Linked DNA regions of Drosophila melanogaster. The protein of the gene in region 3 interacts with the protein of the main gene of each other region in a pairwise test. Each region holds a gene or a part of one and is shown on either strand. Other genes may lie near its edges.

Region 1 (7,362 bases), on a different chromosome or scaffold from region 3:
GACAATAAATTTCATAAATAGCTTATGCATAAAATGCAGTCGGTGGCCCCTTACCCATTCTACTGGCCACTCGATTCGAACGTGGCTCTCAACTCCCGCTGCGTTGATATTAATTGGACGACATAATTGCGGAGCCACGTTGGCCGTAATAATGCGGAGTGCGGTTCGTGGGGTAATTGCTCTGGAAACACGTTCCACTGGCAGCACTCCCCAATCGAAGCGAACTACCGGAGTTGGAATTTGTATAAATATAAATTTTGGCTAACATCGAGGGTCCTCTGCCCGAACTGCGTAATTATGGGTTTTGTGGCACTTGGCTTTTGCATCGCTGCCTTTTTGGCGGCACACACTTGAAATTATCGGTGTGTGTCCGCCATTTAATTTATTGTCTTTGGCGCTGCCCTAAATCCAATTGTAATACAATCCGCCGCATTTATCATATTTAACAACCGACTCCAAACGCACACACATCCTGTATTTAACGGCCTGCTAATACGCGGTTTAAGTTTAATGAGTGCAAAGGAAGGGGTCGCTTATGGCGCGTCATAAAAGGTTGCAAGTAAAGTTATGTTGCAATCAAATAAGAATTTTTAAATTTACCTAAACTTGCCCTTTGCCACTGCGAGAACTGTTTATTTCAAGCCAATCGATTGTGAAAATATTCAAATTTTACTAAAACTGAAATATTTGATATAATAGCCTCAATTTAATTTTGCATATTTTTGTTACCTTTGCGAGGATCTTGTCAGCCCGCAGTCCTTCAGATTTTGGGTTTGTTTGCTCATCATCAGGCTAAGATTGGTTCGAAACCAGCCAGGACATTGTTATGATTATAAATATTTATTTTATGCGCTGCTCTGCCCAGCTCCCGGGGATTTTCTCTCCACTTCCCATCGTGCAAATCGGTTAAATGGACTGTGCTGTTTATTTTTTCATAGTCCCTTAATAAGCCCCATGAAAAATGTGCAAATAAAAGAAGGCGGCTGGGTGGGTCTGATTCTTAAAGGACATAAAACATGTGTGTAAATGTGGAGGTTTTTTTTTTCTTTTTTTTTGCATGTGTGCAGAAAAGAAAATGGCGGTGAACCAAAGATATGGCAGAAGATAAAGACAGAGTCGAAGGAGCAGCGAACAGAAAACATGTCCAGGCGAAATTGCGCACAATTACGGGGCTGAAACGGACTGTACCTCTGCCGCCCACCGCCACGCCCCGCATACCATCCGAGCGGAAAAGAATTATTACGTTGAATTTTCCCCCAAAAAAGCAAAGGAAAAGAAAACGAAGCGAAAGAATTCTCATTTTTTGATAGCCCACCAGAACGATGCCGCAAGGATACACGGAAAAAAAATAATACTATACCCAAGAGACTGAGGTAATCAATAACTTATAATCACGGAAAAGAAACCAATAACATATGTTAAATATATTTAAATTTATCGATGTAAGCCTTTTAAAAATAGTTTTTAAGTTTTATTGATTTTATAAAAAGTTTTTTTCCTTATGACAAAGAACATAAGTGTTGTAATATATTTTTAAATAGTATATTTCAGCTATTTTTCTCTGTGCATTTCCGGATATGCCAGCCACATCGCTTGGCTCACGTGCATATGACAGTGGAGTAAACAATTTCATTTCGCGCAGCAGGACCCACAAGATAACTGCTACAAACGAGACGCAAGATGCTGCAGTGGCGTAGAGGTGGTGGGGCTGGGGCATTTTGGTTGCCAAGGGAGCGTACATGGGCAGCAAGGACAACGACAACACTTGAGTTCTGTTTTCGAAGCCGAAAGAGAAGGACAACAACCACCGGCTAAAGCGGCAGCATAAGAAGTTGCGTAAATATATTGTCCTGTCGCTTATTCTTAAGGGGGGTTTTTTCGTGGATGCGGGACAGGACGAAGGACGAAGGACGCAGGACGAGGGACATCGGACTGCGGTCGGCCGGGACCAATTCGAAGCTCAACTGCCAGCCCCATGGGCGTTTGGACGCAGTTAGTCGAGCGTGCCTGGCGGATTTTTTAATGCGTGCCTCTATAAATTTTGCACGCCTTTTGTAAATGTGAGGACCACGAAGAAATCTCCTGCAGGAGGAGTGGATTTTTTTCAAGGAGGAATGAGTCGTGGGCAGCTGTACACGTGGCCTGACCTGTTTTTTTTTTTTTCGAAACTGTCAAATTGTTGTTACTGCAGCATTCTCCTTCGCTCTGGGGGTTTGTCTCTGCTTCAGAAAATCTTGTATATTTGTCATACGAAATGTTTATCTCCAATATTATTCCATAAATAACATGAAACAACCCTGCTTTAAAAATAATTTTGCGGGTAAGCATTATTTTTGTGAATTACAAAACGCAATCGTTCTATTTGAAACTTTCGATGGTTTATATACATTTATTTACAGTTTTTTATTTAAATACTTAAGAGAGAGCTTACAATAATTAAGATTTGTTCTCCTTCTCTACCTGCGAAGTATCCAAATTAATTTCGTCCTTCAGATCGTAACAAGCCTTCAATTTGATGGTGTCTAGAAAATCCAGCCATTCGCCGAGTTCCTTTTTCTTCTCCTCCTTGTGCTTGTTCTGATTAAGCTTCACGTCGAGGACATCATTCTCAAATTCTCGAGGAGTCACACAGAAACCAAGTAAGAGATTGCGACGTGTAAAGCGGATCATATAAAATGGTTCTCCCTTGGTGAAAAATGAGCTGACCAGCAAATTATTGGCACTCGATTCTTGAGTTCCCGCCTGGTTTTTCATACTTATCTTGGCCCTGTTCAAGTAATTCTTAATCACCTGCTCAAAGTCCCACAAGGTCAGCTGGCAATCCTGTCCACCCACAACCAATATGTTATTATCCAAAGAGATTTCCATGGTATTAATCGAGGCCTTATGATGGTCAAAGAACTGCATCAAAATCTCATTGGCTGTGTCCCAAATCATGATGAGATTGTCATCGCCTCCAGAAACCAAATAACGACCGCAAATTGAGTAGATCAAGGCGGTTATCCTGCTTTTATGACCACGAAAAATGCGCACTTGAACAGCCTTGACAATATCCCAGATCCTAACAGTGCAATCAGCAGATCCAGTGGCCATATAGTGACGATTTGGATGAAATAGGCACACCCCGAGCTCGGCCAGATGTCCTTGAAGAATTCGGGCGGGTTTCGTATTATCCTGCATCCAAACTCTCGCCGTACAATCATCCGATGCGGTGGCGAAATAATAACCCCTTGGTGCAAAAACAACAAAGCAAACCGGTGCCAAATGGCCGGAAAAAATAACCACACAACTCCAGGACAGAAGGCACCACAAGCGAACGCTGAAATCCTCGGAACATGTGATCAGAAAGCGATCCTCTGGATTAAAGGAACAACCATAGACAGGTCCTTGATGTCCGTACAGAGTACGTCTGGTGAACTTCTTAATGGGATCTATCATATCCTTATCAACCCCAGCCATTCCGGTATCCAGATTTTTTAGCCACTGTGCAGCTTTCACTTGAACCAATTTAGAGGGTTTCAGAGAGAAAACATATACCTTAGAGGATACAGTTCCCAGTGCCAACATGCTATTGCCTTCCGAGAAGGTGGCACAAATCACGACCTCATCGGAGGGAGAAGTTGTGTACAAGTAAGTCGATGGCAGGTTATTCCGATCTAATTTCATTCGATACTGTTCATCACTCTTCATGTGAAGCAAATCCATTTTGTTGGGAATCGGATTGTAAACCCTATTTACCGGTGGCAAATGTAAATTATCTGATAACTGTGGTTCGCTCCTTTTCTTGCGACGTTTTTGAAAAAAAGGACGAGCGGCAAAGTCCTTTTTGTGCAAGGGTTCTGGAGCACCATACCATATCGGCTCCAAAAGAGGCTGTCCTATGGCAAATCGTTGCTGGGGCTTGTCATCTTCACTATAAGGCTGTATTTGAAAATGGCTCAGCAATTTTTCTTGCTGACCTCTAGTCCATTCCTCTGTGCAAAGAAGTAACTGTCGAAAAGCTCCCTCAGACATTTCAATCTTCACCTTTTCAAGGCCAGCCAATAATTTGCGTGCTTTATTCGGAACTTCTGCTGGCTTGGAAATTTCTCTTAGCTTTATAATTCTTGATATATATGAATCGTCGAGATGATCTTGAAAGCGAACAAGAAGCATCCTAGCTTTCTGTATCTTATCACTGGCCATCATTTGGAGATAAGTTAGGACCAACAAGGGATATAACAGAATATATATCTCGTATTTGTAGTGACTTGGTGTCGATTGGATCAGTTTAATAAGTTTCTTTACCGCGAATTCATAATCCGCAAAAACCGAATCCTCTTTGATAACCAACAAGCTAACATTTTCCATGTTTTCCAGAAACTGAGCACTATCTTCGTAAAAATCTGAGCCATCACGGGTCCTAATGGCTTCGTCGATATCACATTCACTTCGATGATCTGGGGAACTCTCGTCTTCATTCAAAATAGCCATTAGTTCTTCTTGTGAAACTTCGCCCTTGTCAACGGGACGCAATGACATTTCCTCCCAGTAAGTACATTTATTCTCGTTATGCTGTTCATCAAGATCAGTTTCACCATAATCATAATCATCTAAACTGCTCAAACTAAAACTGGAACTGGTGTTACTGTCCGAAAAGTTGTCATCCTCATCGGCTTTTAACTTTTCTTTTTCCAACTCAGAATCGGATTTATCCAACTCAATTGGCATTTCTGCGTCACTGCGATTCGTGTGCCAGAATTAGTGGAAGTAACTTAATTATAACTTAAGACTTACGTTACTTCCTTAATTAAGTCTGGTTGTATGATGGGTGGCACCATTTCAAATTGACAGGTTTCTTCATCATAAATCGGCATCGATGGCATCGGACCAGTAAAAACTGGTATTGAGGGAAGTTCTTCACAAGCCTTTGGTTTTTCATCTTCAGCACTAAAGGAAAGGAATTAAAAACTCTAGTGTAAACTAAGTCCGAAAATATTTGTTAATATCGCTAACCTTTTATTGAATGGAAATAGATTGACATTCTTTATTCTGTTAATCCATTCGGTGGGCGATCCTGAAAATAACGTTCCTTACTTTGTTAATATGCATTTCCTTTTTGGAAACTTACCATCTGAGTTGGAATCATCTGAATCGCTAATTTTATCGGACTCCGAGCTGCTCCATATTTCGCTATTACGATCATCTATATCGTCTTCATCATCGGAGCAAGCAATTTCGAGTCCCATAAGGTCTTCGAATTCTTTCAAATACCATTTGTTCATTTTTATCTGACTATTTTCATTCTTAGACTTTTGGCGTTCCTTGTTTTTGGGTTTATCCTTGTTATCCTCCAGTTTCATAAGCTCATTTCTGATATCATCGGAATCGGAATCATCCGAATCGGAAATAACGTACACTTCCTGATTGAGCGCATGAAGAGTTTGGATACTTATTTTAACCAGTTGTTAGAAAGCGCATACATATTCTTACTCACATCACTAGATGGTATTAGTATTGGCAATGGTAAATCCATCTTTATTGCTCTTAAATATTTGAACAATCCAAATCAGCCCTAGTGCAATAAGTGAATATTTTCCTTGACTTGACAAGTTTTCGATTTGACAGCTGCGCATTGTGTGGCCGTATTTTTGAAGCCCATTTTGCCAAAAAGCCAAAATCTGATTTTGTTTTATGACGTTAAAACTTTTTTTTTTGGATATATTGTACATTGTTTCTAACAAACAAAATGTATTTCCCAATATATATATATATTTCTTTCTTAATTGTTAATTTATATTACAACACCTTATAACTTTTCAAATGGTCTTTATGGCATGGCCAGCTCAACTTTTGTGGTTGATATTATGTTTTCAAATACATTCCCTCTATTCGATTTATCCATTTTTTTTCACAAATTTTACCCAACATGACACGGCGACTACCGCTGATCTGAAACAAAATGCTGGCTCAGCAGCACATCACATGAGGGCGCTGGAATCCAGGGTGTCCTTAAAAAGCGAGGGGTGGTGGAGGGGCTGAACGACTGGTCCATAGGTAAAAAAAAATTAATTTGCATACCCAATACTCGACGGATTTGTTGCTACGCAGAGGTTTCCCATGCCACTGTCCATTTCAGGGACCTCTTTTAATTTTACGTTATACCCTATATGTATATTGGGTGTTTTTAATTTTCCGCCCAAAGATCTGCTCACAAAGGTAAAATCGTTTTACCTTGAAGGTGAAAGTTTGTCAGTCTATTGTAAATTCTTAATGACCAACAGGGTTACACAACTATCTAAATAATTTGGAATATTTTTTAACAGAGTATTTTTCATTCGGCTCTAAAAATAATTTTATGTTTTGATACTTCTTTTCACCACTCACTTGTCAGTGGAATTGTGCGAGTATGCTGGCGGACCAAAACCCGCGGATGCGTTTGGAATTCTTCCGCAGTTCGGGCAATATGTCGGCGGCGCTGGCAACTCATTTTGCAGGGCACATAAAATAAAAAAGACGTGCGTAAAAAATGGATATACAAAAAGCCGGCGACAGGACAACCCGCAGCAGAAGCAGAAAATGTAGCTGCATATTGTTTTGTAATTTTCGCCATGATTTATGGCGCGCACGGGGATGCACACTTTAAGTGCTTTAAATAAAATAAAAAAAAAAACTGCATTAAAAACTAGGAATATTGGCAATTGGTATTCATGGATGGGTATGTGTGTCAATAGTCAAGGGCCAACAGTTAGAGGCGAACACAATGGCAAACAAAGCCTCATTATGGACAGCAACAATTGCCAAATCACTTGATATGTAATGCTGGCCATAGATAAATCACACTGCAGCATAATCCATTGTAAAGTGTCGAAAAGCTGCAATTGAAATGCAAATCAATGCAAATCGATACTTGAATCATCACCAGCCGCAACAGCAGCAGCACCACCAGAATCTGAATCAGAAACAGAAACTCGAACATGAATGATTCATGCAACGCACGCGAACATTCAAATGCAAATACTCGAATGCCAGAATGCAAAATCCGAAATGCAAAAATTATCCAAAAATGCAAATTTGCGAGTGCGAAAGCCCCGCTGAGTGAGGCCAACAATCAAATCAAAATAAATGCACCGCACACACACACCGAAATCCCAAATTGCAACAAAGCCAAAAGTAAACACACAACAAACAATGCAGCTTGCGGATTTTCGCACTTCCGCTTAACTGTTGCTAATTTGATTAGGGAATTTTCCACAGGGGCGGGGTGCAAAAGTCGAAAAGGGGGCGTGGCAAGCGAAAAGGCCATAAACATTTTTAGCTGCTGCTGATTTCGCTCTGGCCTGCCAACTTATGCAAATTATCTTGTGTGATTTATGCCCGGAA
Region 2 (4,735 bases), on a different chromosome or scaffold from region 3:
CGGCGTCCTCGTCTGCTGGTTCTTCCCTTCTTTCCATTTCTGCAGGGCTTTCATATTGCCGCCCTTTTTTTTATATTTATCCATATATTGCCCGGTTCCAATGGGATGCGGGATGGCCAGGTAGGGATTCGTTCGCAGGTGCGAGGCAAGTGGGTTTGGGGGAAAGGGATGTGCTTGCCACTGACAGCCTCACACGTTTCCTTTGCGTCCCCCTGGCGATCCTTTTAGCACCTGGCCCAGTCTCTGGGTGTATAATTTCATCTGCCAACTGATTGAGTGTCGCAGTTTTACTTATGTGAAAAACGAACAAGATTTTTATCTGGAAATCGGCAATAGAGAGCGGAATGTTTGCCGTGAAATGCGAAGTAAAGTTCTGCCCCGCTGACATATCGACAAGATCAAAGGGAATCGTGTGCTAAGGGCTCTCAGCTACACATATGCATAAAAATATCACTCATATCAATTTATTCTAGGTCTAGATGCCTCCAAAGCGAATGATCTTGCGAAAAAGTGGATATATGACAGATATAGGGTATAACTTTATCTATATTGTTATTTGGTATTTTTGATTATATATATTTTAAATATACTTTGAAGATTAATCTCTTTTTCTTTCGGTTTCGCAAACTCTATGTGTAAAGTCTCCAAACTTGGGGTTGAAGGTCAACATCCGAACCAGATGATGCCCAGAGGTGAATCCCCATTCGCAAGTGGGTCAGTGGAGTGCAATCCCAATTGACCCATTCGCAGGACCATTCCCCCAAAGGCCCAACAGCAGACTGAAGAGGCGCCCCAAGATGTGGCCAAGACCTGGTCCGATTGCCACCCAATTTGCAACATTTTGTGGCAGGTAAGTTAACAGCGAGAAAATGAAGGTCTCCGTAAATCGGTTGCTCTCAGTTGTGGATCGCAAGCTAACAGAGGGAGAGAGCCACAGGAACAGGATTTCCCCTCATGCCTGTGGAAGCCAACTTAACAGAGTGACTTTAAACAGGATTTCGATTTAACTTTTGTAAACCCAACTTGTTGACTGCCCAAATGAAAGCCCTGCAAATATTTGCCCAAAAATGATGTATATTGTGTGTCCTAACAAAACTTTTATGCTAACGAAATATTTCGGCACTCTAAAATAGCAAACGTCAGCGGTTGACCATAAATATTTTCGCCCCCACAGCTCGATGGGGATTTTAAATACGTTTACCGAAAAAAGGACTGTTTGTACGGGTCTCGGAATTAGATTAACCATCATAGCTTCAGGATTGAGGCAGAGCATTCCCACAAAGGACCGCACTCCCACACAAAATGTATGGAAATACTTTCCTGGCCGGAGCCACTTGCATAATTAACTGAATTTGTTTGTTGCCCCAAACCGCATTTGTGGATTGACTTTTCTGCTCGGATTGAGGTGGCAATCCTAAAAGTTTTCATAAGCTAAAAATATCATCGTACAGGGCAACCCGGAGTGTGAATATTGTCAGTTGTATTGCGTTCAAGTTGTCAAAACGATAGAAATTATAATAGAATTTTCCGATAGTCGATATCGAAGATATTTTTCTGAAATGGCTGCAAAACAAGAAACTGAACGGTCCTCGCCGGAAATTAATGCCTGCAAGGTGATTATTAAAAGGTTGTTTTCCAGTACCTATAAGAATATTGCTTGGGTTTTCTACGAGCCACTGGATCCGCAACTGCTGGGCCTCCACGATTACCATGAGATTGTCCGGGAACCCATGGATCTGTCCACCGTGAGGCATCGTTTGAATACGGGTTGCTATCTCAGTGCCGCGGATTTCGCCAAAGACATAAGGCTGATTTTCTACAACACCTATCTGTACACGAATCCCGATCACCTGTGCTACCACATGGCCAAACAGCTGCAGATCATCTTTGAGGAGATGTACTCCCAGGTGCAGCTCTACATCTGCTCCAGCGGCAGTAAAGTGCGTGCCGAGGAAGAGAGCTCCTCGGATGAATCGGACTCATCATCGCCGGAGGACGAGGTGAACGGCTCGGAGGTGTCCCCCTCCATAATGGGTGCGCCCCCCTCATGTACTCCAACCACCGAATGTACTCCGACCCCCGATTGGACTCCGCCGGCAACTTTGGAAACTTCGGAGCAGCAGGAGCCCTTTACAACCGAGGAGGACCTTGATCTGCACGCCAAGATTCAGCAGCTGGACGGCGAGGTGCTGCTCCACGTCATCCATTTCATTCAACGCATGGAGGGCGCCGAGTACTGCAACAAGGAGCTGGAGTTCGACATCTGCAAACTGAAGGTGCACACCAAACGCGGCATCCGTGATTATTTGGCCAGCAAGGGGTTCACCGGCAAAAGAGTGGCCCGCACCAAGCCCAAATATAATTGAGTTTCAGATTGAAAAAGAGTTTTAATTTATTGTAATCTAGTCCTTTTTGCCCAAAAGCTTCTCCTGCTCCTTTCTCTTGTCGCGCATGGAGCGGTAGTTCCGGAAATCCCCATTCCACGTCTTGTTACGCATGATCTCCAGCGGATTGGAAGCTATGTAAGCGAAAAAGGTCTTCCGAGGAGGTCCTCCGGGCACCAGATAGTTGCCCATGGCGTACCAGGCGGAGCTCACGATGCTTAGGTAGCGGGCATTCAACTGATCGTGATATGTTTGCTTAGCCAGGGCAGCCTGAAAAATATAGTTTTAGTATAGTAAAATATATGTACATATATATATATATATATACCGTATTCTTAATCTGCTTATAGAAGTTAAAGTTCTCCTTGGATCTGGGCAGGCGATCAATGCCCATAAGATCGGGACTGGCGGGACTGCTCTGGAGGATGGTGACCAGCTCGAATATCCTGCTCGACTCGGCTATACTCTCCTCGAGCTCCTTCTGGCTGTAGGTTTTGCCGTACCTCCTCTTGACCCACTCCCGCAGCACTGGCAGCTTGTGGGCGTCTGGCAGACAGGCCAGCACATAGCGGGGCTCCTTCCTGAGTACTCGCATGCCATCCTTTAGCAACTTGTCCATCTGGGCGGCATCGTTCGGATCGAATGATTCCGTATCCTTATGGGTCAGTGCCTTGCGCGGCGTCATTCTGCCCATGCGCTCCATCTCGGCCCGCTTTATTAGGGTACGCTTCTGCCAAACCGCCTTGGCACATCTCACTACTGCATCCACGATCTCCGCCTTGTAGTTCACATGGCTGCGACCACTGTGGTTGCTCGAACGATCCAAGGTCTCTCGACTGTCGGAGATTCTAGTCTGATCCAGGTCACTAAAGATTTCCAACGGGGGCTGGCTGTCCTGCTTCGATTTCTTCTCCGGCTCGGTTTCGGGAAGGCCTTCAGACTTGGAATCCGGAGGCGCCTCGTCCTCAATCACCATCTCCGACAAAAGCTCCCTAAAGTAACACGGATCGGCTTCGTCCCCATCCGACTGATCCAGCGCCTTCACAAAAGACTTGGCCATAATATGACTGAGATCAAAGGGTTTCGGTTGGCCGGATTGGAAGACCCGATGGTATTTGAACTGGTACGGCTTGTTCGAACGGGGTCCCCGGAAGAACCTAGTTTTCACATGCCTGTTATTGGGCATGCGCATATCGCACTTGTGTGCATTCCCTTCGATCTTTCCCTTGGCCAGGATAAAAGATACGGCCGACTTTTTGGGAGCCGGAGGAAGCTCGCACTCCGAAGGACCAACTACTTGCGTACACACCTGTGTGTACTCGTTGAAGTCGATGTTGTGGATACGGAAGGGGCCGCTAACGAGTTTGCGAGGCGGTGGCTTCCAGGGCGATACCTTCGGCTTCTTCGGATTTTCTGGTTCCGGTTCCACTACTTTAGCCTTTTTCTCCTTTTTCCCCTTCTTGTCTTTTTTCTTCAATACAGAAAGATTGTAATGAAAGTTAATCTATTTGGTAATTTTCCACTCACCGGCTTTCCTCCACCACCCTTTAGCCTCTTTCCGCGGCCCTTTTCTGCAGGCGGTTGGGGTACTGTGGAATCCTTAATTTTGTTCAATAGAAAAATAAAAGTGGGTATGGAAAATGTAAATATATTTGGTAATTTCAAACATACCGTCTTCTCTGCACCTCCCTCCAGCCTTTTTCCGCGACAAGTATCGATTCCACTGGTACGGGCTACTGTGCCATCCTTTTTTTTCTTTAATTGGATATTAGGTATAGAATGTATGTATTTGATAATTCTCAACTTACCGGCTTTTCCGCACCACCCTCCAGCCTTTTTCCGCGGTAAGTATCGAATGCAGTAGTATGAGCCACGGTACAATCCTCGCCCACCAGAGCCCGACCAATCTGACCCTTGGTTTCCGGCCAGGGTTGCGATACCAGCATCTGCTGGCACAGCACGCAGTCAAAATTCTCGATGGTCAGCACCTTGGTCTGGTCGCAGTGCATCGCGTTTCGGTGGCGGGCCATTATTACGTCGATGTCGTGCTCCAACTGGGCCACGATTCTGGCCTTTCGAAGCTTGGCGTATGGCTCGTTCACATCGAGGAGTTCCAGGCAGCGATCCCTCGCCTTGACCGCCAGTTCATCCCTCAGGAGCTGGGCCTGCAACACCTGACCCTTGTGCACCAAGCACATGTTGGCTTCGGGCTCCCGACTTTGTTGGGTTTCCTCCGCATCCTGCTTCCCCTCAACTGCTGCCAATTTAAAGTAACGCTCCAGGGTCTCGGAGAGGGTTTTCTTGATCAGTCGCTGGCCGGGATTCAGTCGGTACAGCGCATACCAAGGCTC
Region 3 (7,700 bases):
TGTTATAGGGCTGCCAGATTGCAAGACGACTGGTCACCTTAGCTCTGCGTAGTTGCAATGTCAACCGAGAGGTGGCACCTTGGTGCTTGACTGTTTTATTTTGAATTTAAAAACAATAGAAAATGGTATAGTCGAGTTCCCCGACTATCAGATACCCGTTACTCAGCTAGTGGGAATGCCAAAGGGAACATTTCATCATTTTTCTGGGATATCGATAGATACTGGGGAATAAAATAGTCGTGACCGTTTTGGGCGTATTGTAGCAAAAGGAGGCGCGTGGCTAGTGTTTTTTTTTGCACGAAGAAAAATCTAAGCATTTTTCAAAAGTGTGGGCGTGGCAAAATGAGATCAATACAGACGGACATGGCCAGATCGACTCGGCTATTGATCCTGATCAAAAATGTATAGACAAATGTATATGATCGCAATCGCTTCCTTCTGCCTGTTCCATACTTTTCAACGCATCTAGTAATACAGGTATAATTAAACTATGAGAATGTCGGTAGCTCGTAATTAGAATCATATTTTAGGCTAATAACAATTCTTTATGAATAATAATTATAATAATTTGCATTTTCATTTTTTTTCATTTCCGTGGTAGAATTCTACACACTTTAATCGCTATCATAAGTTTGGTCATCCAGCGGCTCCGTACCAGGTGAAAATTCTTGTACATCCTGGGGCTCCATTTTGTACACTCGCTGTTCTTGCACAAACAGGGACTCCGTTTTAATAATAAATGGCTTTGGAACCCATCCTTTGAAATTCTTATTAGCGTTTTCTTGTTTAATGAGCAGGTTTTGTGAGTCACGAAAATCTTGTTCCCTGCTGGCCACCAGTTGACGCCCCTTTTCCTTGGCCGTGGCAATTAACTCCCTGTACTTGGGCAGCCTTTTCTCAAAGATCTCATTGGTTTTCTTCACCGAAACCTTGACCAATCCATCTTCCGGAAAGCAACGCAATGCGTTCTGGAACATCTTTCGTACAGAGCTCACGAATCCATCAAAGCTCTCAAAGTTATCGGAGTCCAAGCGCTCCTGTAGTATCTTCCAATCGAGTTTCTCTTCGCGATCGTGGTCGTAGTCCGGATTCTGGGAGTACCTTCGCCAGTAGTCAGCCTGATTAAATGCCCATGTAACCTGCTTGCGCTTTCGCTTTACCATCGACTTCAGAAGATGATCTGAGTGGCTTTTTTCAATCATTCGGTCGAGAGACTTGTAGCAGATGATAATGGGTGGATTGGGAGCCGGAGGAGGCGATGAAGCTGGAGATTCAACTGGTGCTGGGGTTGGCCAAGGCAAAGTCATGGGTTCCATTGGAGGGGACGGTAAGGGTGCTGCCAAGGAATCCAAGGGACGATAGGAAATTGGCTCTGAGGGCGGTGGATCCATTGCTTCATTTGTCTCCCAATTATTCTTGAATATCGGATTCATCATTGATGACATTGGATGCATAGATTGCATGGGATTCACCAAGGAATCGGGCATAAAAGATGGGATCAAGCTGGGACCCACGAAATTTCGGAATGAAGGATTAAATGACGACACCCCGCCAGGCATCGGTGGGGGACAGAGCCATGAGGAACTACTCGAGAGCCACTGTCTAGAATAATTGTTAGATGCTCGAGGTGCTGAGAACGAAGTCGAGGCTTGATCCAATGATTCAGTAGCCTTTCTCTTGCGCTTTTCCGACTTCGGCTTTAGTTCCACCTCCGTGCTCAAATCAATGGACTCCATTCGCATGTAAAAGGCCTCCATTAGAAGCTTCCCTGCCTGATAAACCGGTGAGCCCTCCAAATTGTACAACAAGCAGTTATCGAATATCAGCTTGAAATCCTCCAGAGCCTCGCTCGCCTGCCAGTAGTATTTGTTGTGCAGTCGCTTCCTAATTGTACTCAAGTCCATCGGATGCTTGACCACCGCATGGTAGTCGGGCACACCCAGGCTCACAGAATCGACGGGATGGCGAAAGTGATACGAGAAGCGATTGCGCCATAAGCAATTCAGCACGGACTTGAGCTCTTCTAGGATGTTTGTCCTTCGCCCAGGACGATTCGGTGGCGGAATCACCGGCGGTTGCACGATGCCATTCACCGGCTGCAGATACGGCTCATTGCGCGGCGGAGGCTGGTTGCTATTCGACTGCAGTTCATTCATTGCTGGTTTGTAAGGTCACCCAACTCCTAATATTAGCCTAAAGCAGTTTTTTTTTTTTTTGGTATTTAGGAAGAATGTGAACTATTTCAAATGCTTACTTTTTGAACAACTCAAAATTCACAGCTCCTTTCGGCTCGGAATACAGAACTTTACTGAACTTCTTTTCGTCAAACACTAATAATTACCTCTTGACACTAGAGTCTATGGTGATGTGATTTACATTTATTGTATGTAAGTCTCCGTTGGGAGTAGTAGAAAATAAAAAATGACCAGACGGATTTTGTCACTGACTTTTTTGTGCTACGTTGGGTCTGTCAAAATTTGTGACATTCACAGTGAGCTTACATTCGATAGCTAGCAATCGTCTAGTATGAGTGATAATACTCCTTTCTAAGGTGCAACTTCAGGGACCTTGGTAGTTGTTGCCACCGCAGATATGCCAAAAAAAAGTTTCCCATGGTTGCTCGGCTGGATCATCACAGCTCTAGTGGGAATCAAACGAAGTGGTTTTGTGGTGGCACCTTGATAAGTTATCAGGTGGTTTTAACGGCTACTCACTGCTTCTACTCAGATGTGTAAGTACAACCAAAGACACTAGAATAATTCTATTCTATTATTCTAGTGTCTTTGGTACAACTTACCAACTTACAAGTTACGGTTGGATGCAAACGAGGATGTGCCGGAAGGCTATAAGGCGGAGTCCCAGTTGTGTGTTGGATCTCCGGACCATAAGGACACATGCAATGGTGACTCGGGAGGTCCTCTGCTGGTTCGTCACATCGGGATCGGATGCTAGTATCAAGTCATGGGAATAACTTCAGTGGGAATCGCGTGTGGAACTCCGAACATTCCCAGTTTGTATACAAGGGTGTATTTCTTTAGAGATTGGGTCAAGCGGGCCATGAATCAAAGAGTTATCTTGTTTTTTAAATTTTTATTTGCTCCGTGTGTTTCCGCTAAGTGTGATTTCATTTTTGTTTTACAATTATAATTTTACAATAGTTTCAACTAAATAAATAATAACAATTTATAAATATAATTTTTTTCCACCCTTCCTAATTTTCTCATGATTTTTACCTTTTTGTGTTTGACATAAATAATTTGTTCTTCTAGAGTTTAAAAAACAATTTGTGCAATCACAATAAATGAAAATCAGTAGCTGTTTTTGATTTGATATCATTTGCTTGACAAGGCAAATGTAATTGTTGTGGATGTTCTTTAAACTTAGTGGCTAAGTATCAGCTTAGGTTACCTATTTATACAAATAATCGGTAGGTCTATAAATTGCAACGAAAACAAAACCTATAAAAACCAAGGATCTATATGCAATAAATAAATACTTAATACGAAACATCTTGGTAGCTTTTGGTGCTTACTATATACAAAACAACGCAAATTTGCGCCGAGGCGCTGTCTATGAAGCCAAAAACCTATCGCTAATTGTTAGAACTGCTCTTTGTAACTTGATTTTCATTAACATCATCTTGCTGTTTTATTGTCTATTTCGAAAGTGTGGCGCGCGCCGCCCAGCGACGCAACTAAGCGGGGAGTCTGTCAAAGAATACAAAACAACAAACTCCAAAGCTGAGGCCTGACACCTAACACTAAACTCTATACTCGTATCGTCACATATGTATGGATAACTCTATATATATGGCCTGGCGGTATGTATCCTCCTGCTGCCCACTACTTATGCCCGATAACGAGGGTGTAGCTGGCTGTGCTCACTGTCGACGATAACGTCGACAGCGCTGGTCATTTGGCCAGCTTCAGGATCTCGGAACGGGCCGATGTTGTCGCTGTCCCGGTTCCAGTTGAAGCTGCTGCAGCTCCAGCTGCTGCTATCGTCCCAATGTTGCCTGTGCCCGTTGTGGCCACCGGTGGAGCCGGAGCAATGCGTATGGGCTTGGCTCGCTGCTGATTGAAGAGGCCACTCAATGTGGCCGCCGTACTGGTGGTCAGCACCATGCTGGCCCCACTTGTGTTGGCCTGGCGCTTGCTCCGCGCGAGTCCATTTATTTTGTTGTTCGTTGAAGAGGGCGATTGCTGCTGCTGTTGCTGCTGCTGCTGCTGCTGATACTGCTGTTGTCCGCCAATTACAGCTGGTCCTGCTGATGCGGGAACAGCAGAGATGGTTGCGGATGACGAGGATGTGGCTGCGGGTGTCGAGGAGGCTGAAATGTTATCCAACTCAGTCATTGCTTCTTGTATGGCCCGCTCGAGCTGCGAGTTCAGTTTGCGGCTCCTTTGTGGTCGCATGGTGAGTGTGTATATGTGGTTGAGTTTTTGGTTGGTTTCAGGTTGGGTTCGGATTTGGGTTTTTCATTTTCGAGTGGGGTTGTTGTTGGTCATGACGATGATGATGATTATGCATACACACACAGAGTTATACACGTTGGGGTTGGCGGGGCATGGTTTAATTTTTGGATTTGGTTCAGCGCATTTAAAAAAAAAGAAACAAGAATATTAATTAGCAAATTAAAAGTCAAATTGTAAACAATGATTAAACTAATTAATAATGCATTTAAATGCCGATTTATCGCTTAATTGCATAGTTAATAATATAAAGTGTCCAATTTTCTAAATATATGTAGCTACGGTTGTAAGGCTTAATAAAGACTGCAAAAAATAAACTAAAAAGTTATCTAGAAGAAATGAAAATATTTTGTATACAAAAATAAACAAAACAAAAATTGTAACGTTTGCTTTCATACAATATGCAAGAATAAACTACAAAGTTAAGATAAATACGCATTACTTCAAGATAGGAAAATTTTATAAATTTAAATTCAACAAATATTTTTCAAAATCGTACAAAAACTAACTACAGAGCTGGTCTGGAGTTCACCTAAAGCCGAAGGTTTCCTGAAATGCTGCCTGTTTTAAATATGAACTTGAATAAATATTTTCCCCTCCTGATCTCTTCCAGAAATTCCCACCCTTAGTCGATGCTCACTTTCTCGTATCCTTCTGGGCCTTGTGATGTGCTTCCAGACCCTCGGAGAGACTCTGCAATGAGTTGACCGGAATTAGCTCGGAGGTCGAACGACCGCCGCCGCCGAACCACTGAACCCAGACGTGGTCGAATTGCTGCGACGGCGTGCACACTCCGTCTGGCATCTTGACAATCTTTCCGGGCCAGGCGGGATGGCCCCGAGCTGGACCCCATATCAGTTCCCCAATGGCAAAGGATCGTGGTGGCAGCGGGAAACTTTTATCAGACGCCGAGGGCGCCGCACGCGCTGCCCCTCGTTGCGGTCGGCGCGAACGTTTCGTGGGCGTCCTGACCGTCGTCTTCTCGACTGTTGGTTGAGCGGTTGGAACTGATGAAAGCAGCTGCGTTGTGGTGGGCGACTCTACGAAAGGCACACACACACACTCATAGAAACTAGGACTACGAATTTGGTTACTCGGGGGCAATGGTGATCCCAGCACCCAGCGAAGTACAGACGAAGGGTAGAGATTCTAAACTAAACAAAGGTGCAGGTACATGTGCTGTAGGTGGTGCAGGCGATCATGCAGTCGCCAAACGGGTGGTGTTGTGTTGGTGGGTTAGCGTGTGGATGCAATTAGTGCTGGTCAGCGATGGGTCCTTACCCTGATAGTCAAAGTTAACTACTTTGTGGCTATGAAGGAAGGTGTTTGGATGGCTATTGGAGATGTTTGGGATGTGATGGTGCACGGCCTGCTGGCGGTGCATAAGCTGGCGTTGACCAGCCAGAGCAGTTGTGGTTAGTGGTGCCGACGATGACGATGTTATAGACATGGATGCAGATGTGGAGTTTGTGTTAGATGTCGCCAGGCGCATACCTTGTCCCTGCATCAGGCTAATTCCGTTCTCCGCCGACGTCTGTGAGGTGATGTGGATGCGTCTGATCTTTGGCTCCGAATGCTTGTAGATCCCACTGGGCTGGGTAAACACATTGTTCTTACAAATGCCTAGTTGTTAAACAGAATTGGTTAATATTAACAGGATTCTTCTTGAAGAAGATGCACTTACTCCTCTCACAGTCCGTTGAAGAGGGCGACTGCCGACTCTCAGTACTTTGGGGAGAGACAGCTGCATCCGGCTCCGAACTGGATACACATTGTACCTACCAAAGTAAAAGCGGTTAGAAGAAATCAATATGAGAAACATATTCAAAAAAACTCACCATATCGCTACCGCTGCTGCGATGGCTGGAAGGCCGCTCCGGACTTCGTGGACTACAGGTAGTTGTGTCCGGCGGACTGGCGGCCGTTCCCTGGCGACTCATCACCGTCTCTGTCATGTAGGTGGCCTGTGCTGGCTGCAAACTGATCTGCGTGGGCTGCGGGGCTGGCTGTTGTTGGATCTGTATAGTTGTTGTCGTGGGACTAGCCTGCACAAAGGATGCACCTCCCTGCTGACCGGTTGGCATGACCAGACCCATGGGCGTGGAGTAGATCTGACCGATGGGACTCAACTGGCCATTGGCACCCACTAAGTACTGTTGGCCTCCGGCACTCGGGGATATGAAAGAGGGTTTGTTCTGTGGCGATGGCGTTCTCAACATCACGGGACCCTGCGGTGTCATCAAGCTTGTTGCGGGCATATTTTGGATCTGTAACAGTGTGGCATCTGGTCCCATTACCAACCCGGCCGGCATGAGAAGCTGCTGTCCAATGAGATTAACCTGTTGCAAGATTTGCCCATTCTGGAGCAGAAGCTGCTGCGTCTGTGGTTGCTGAGGGGGATTAGGTTTGTTTACCACAATTCCCTGAATACCAGGACTCAATTGGAATTGTTGCTGGAATTGAGGAGCAGCAGCCGCCGCTGCAGCTGCCTGCTGGTGAAGCAGAGCTGGTGCCTGGTTTGGGATGCTGGGCGAGATCTGAGGCGAAATGATTTTGGCGGGCGATCCACTTGGCGGCGGTGTATGGCATACAGAACTTTTGCGCTTCCGCGCTCTCCTCTTGGTGTCCGGCGAGCTGATGATAAGTGTTTGCGCCGGCGGCGGTTGCGGCATCGCCAGGATCTGTTCTGCCTGCTGTGGCGACTGCGTTTGCGGCTGCTGCTGGACGATGTAACCTCCATTGGGCAGTGTGTTGAGCAGCACCGTTTGCGGCTGGTTTCCTGATCCTCCTGAAGTCGCTTGATTAATCTGTCCAGCCTGCGAGGTGATGATCTGGTGGTGCAACAACTTGGCTCCACCGGAGTTTAGGATCACAGTACTGCTGCTACTGCTGGAGCTTGCCGCCGCCACCGGAGAGGGCTGGCTGACGATATAACCACCACCCGGTTGAGGATGCAACTCCGCCGGCTGCTGTTGCTGGATGATGACACCTTGTCCGGGCTGACCTGGGCGATGATGTTGCGTTGTCTGCTTGCTGGGCGTCGGTATGACCAGTAGTTGTCCCGAAGAAGTCATTATCAATTGTCCACCACCACCTGCTCCGTTCATGGCATTCGCCATGGATTGCAACTGCGCCACAGTGGGATTCGAGTTGTTTAACGTGGTGGCCACAGGACGCCCTGTAATCGTACTCGTTCCCGCCGTGGAGGTCACTATGCTCCTGGTCATC

What was found.
Region 1: the proteins of tbrd-1 (region 3) and can interact in a two-hybrid assay, tested with the Drosophila melanogaster proteins (one study listed by BioGRID).
Region 2: the proteins of tbrd-1 (region 3) and tbrd-3 interact in a two-hybrid assay, tested with the Drosophila melanogaster proteins (one study listed by BioGRID).

The regions. Positions count from the first base shown.
Region 1 is NT_037436.4:10,261,551-10,268,912, forward strand, and holds can (cannonball), read right to left. Parts: upstream 5,562-7,362; 5' UTR 5,516-5,561; coding exon 5,477-5,515; intron 5,403-5,476; coding exon 5,111-5,402; intron 5,057-5,110; coding exon 4,996-5,056; intron 4,930-4,995; coding exon 4,777-4,929; intron 4,721-4,776; coding exon 2,437-4,720; 3' UTR 2,359-2,436; downstream 1-2,358.
Region 2 is NT_033778.4:23,324,381-23,329,115, reverse strand, and holds tbrd-3 (testis-specifically expressed bromodomain containing protein-3), read left to right. Parts: upstream 1-1,534; 5' UTR 1,535-1,559; coding exon 1,560-2,366; 3' UTR 2,367-2,377; downstream 2,378-4,735. Other genes in the region: CG9861 (uncharacterized protein), read right to left, coding at 2,403-2,654, 2,713-3,855, 3,912-3,983, 4,056-4,139, 4,193-4,735.
Region 3 is NT_033777.3:23,891,097-23,898,796, forward strand, and holds tbrd-1 (testis-specifically expressed bromodomain containing protein-1), read right to left. Parts: upstream 2,465-7,700; 5' UTR 2,255-2,464; intron 2,194-2,254; 5' UTR 2,157-2,193; coding exon 615-2,156; 3' UTR 501-614; downstream 1-500. Other genes in the region: sba (six-banded), read right to left, coding at 3,912-4,401, 5,113-5,512, 5,967-6,095, 6,157-6,250, 6,311-7,700.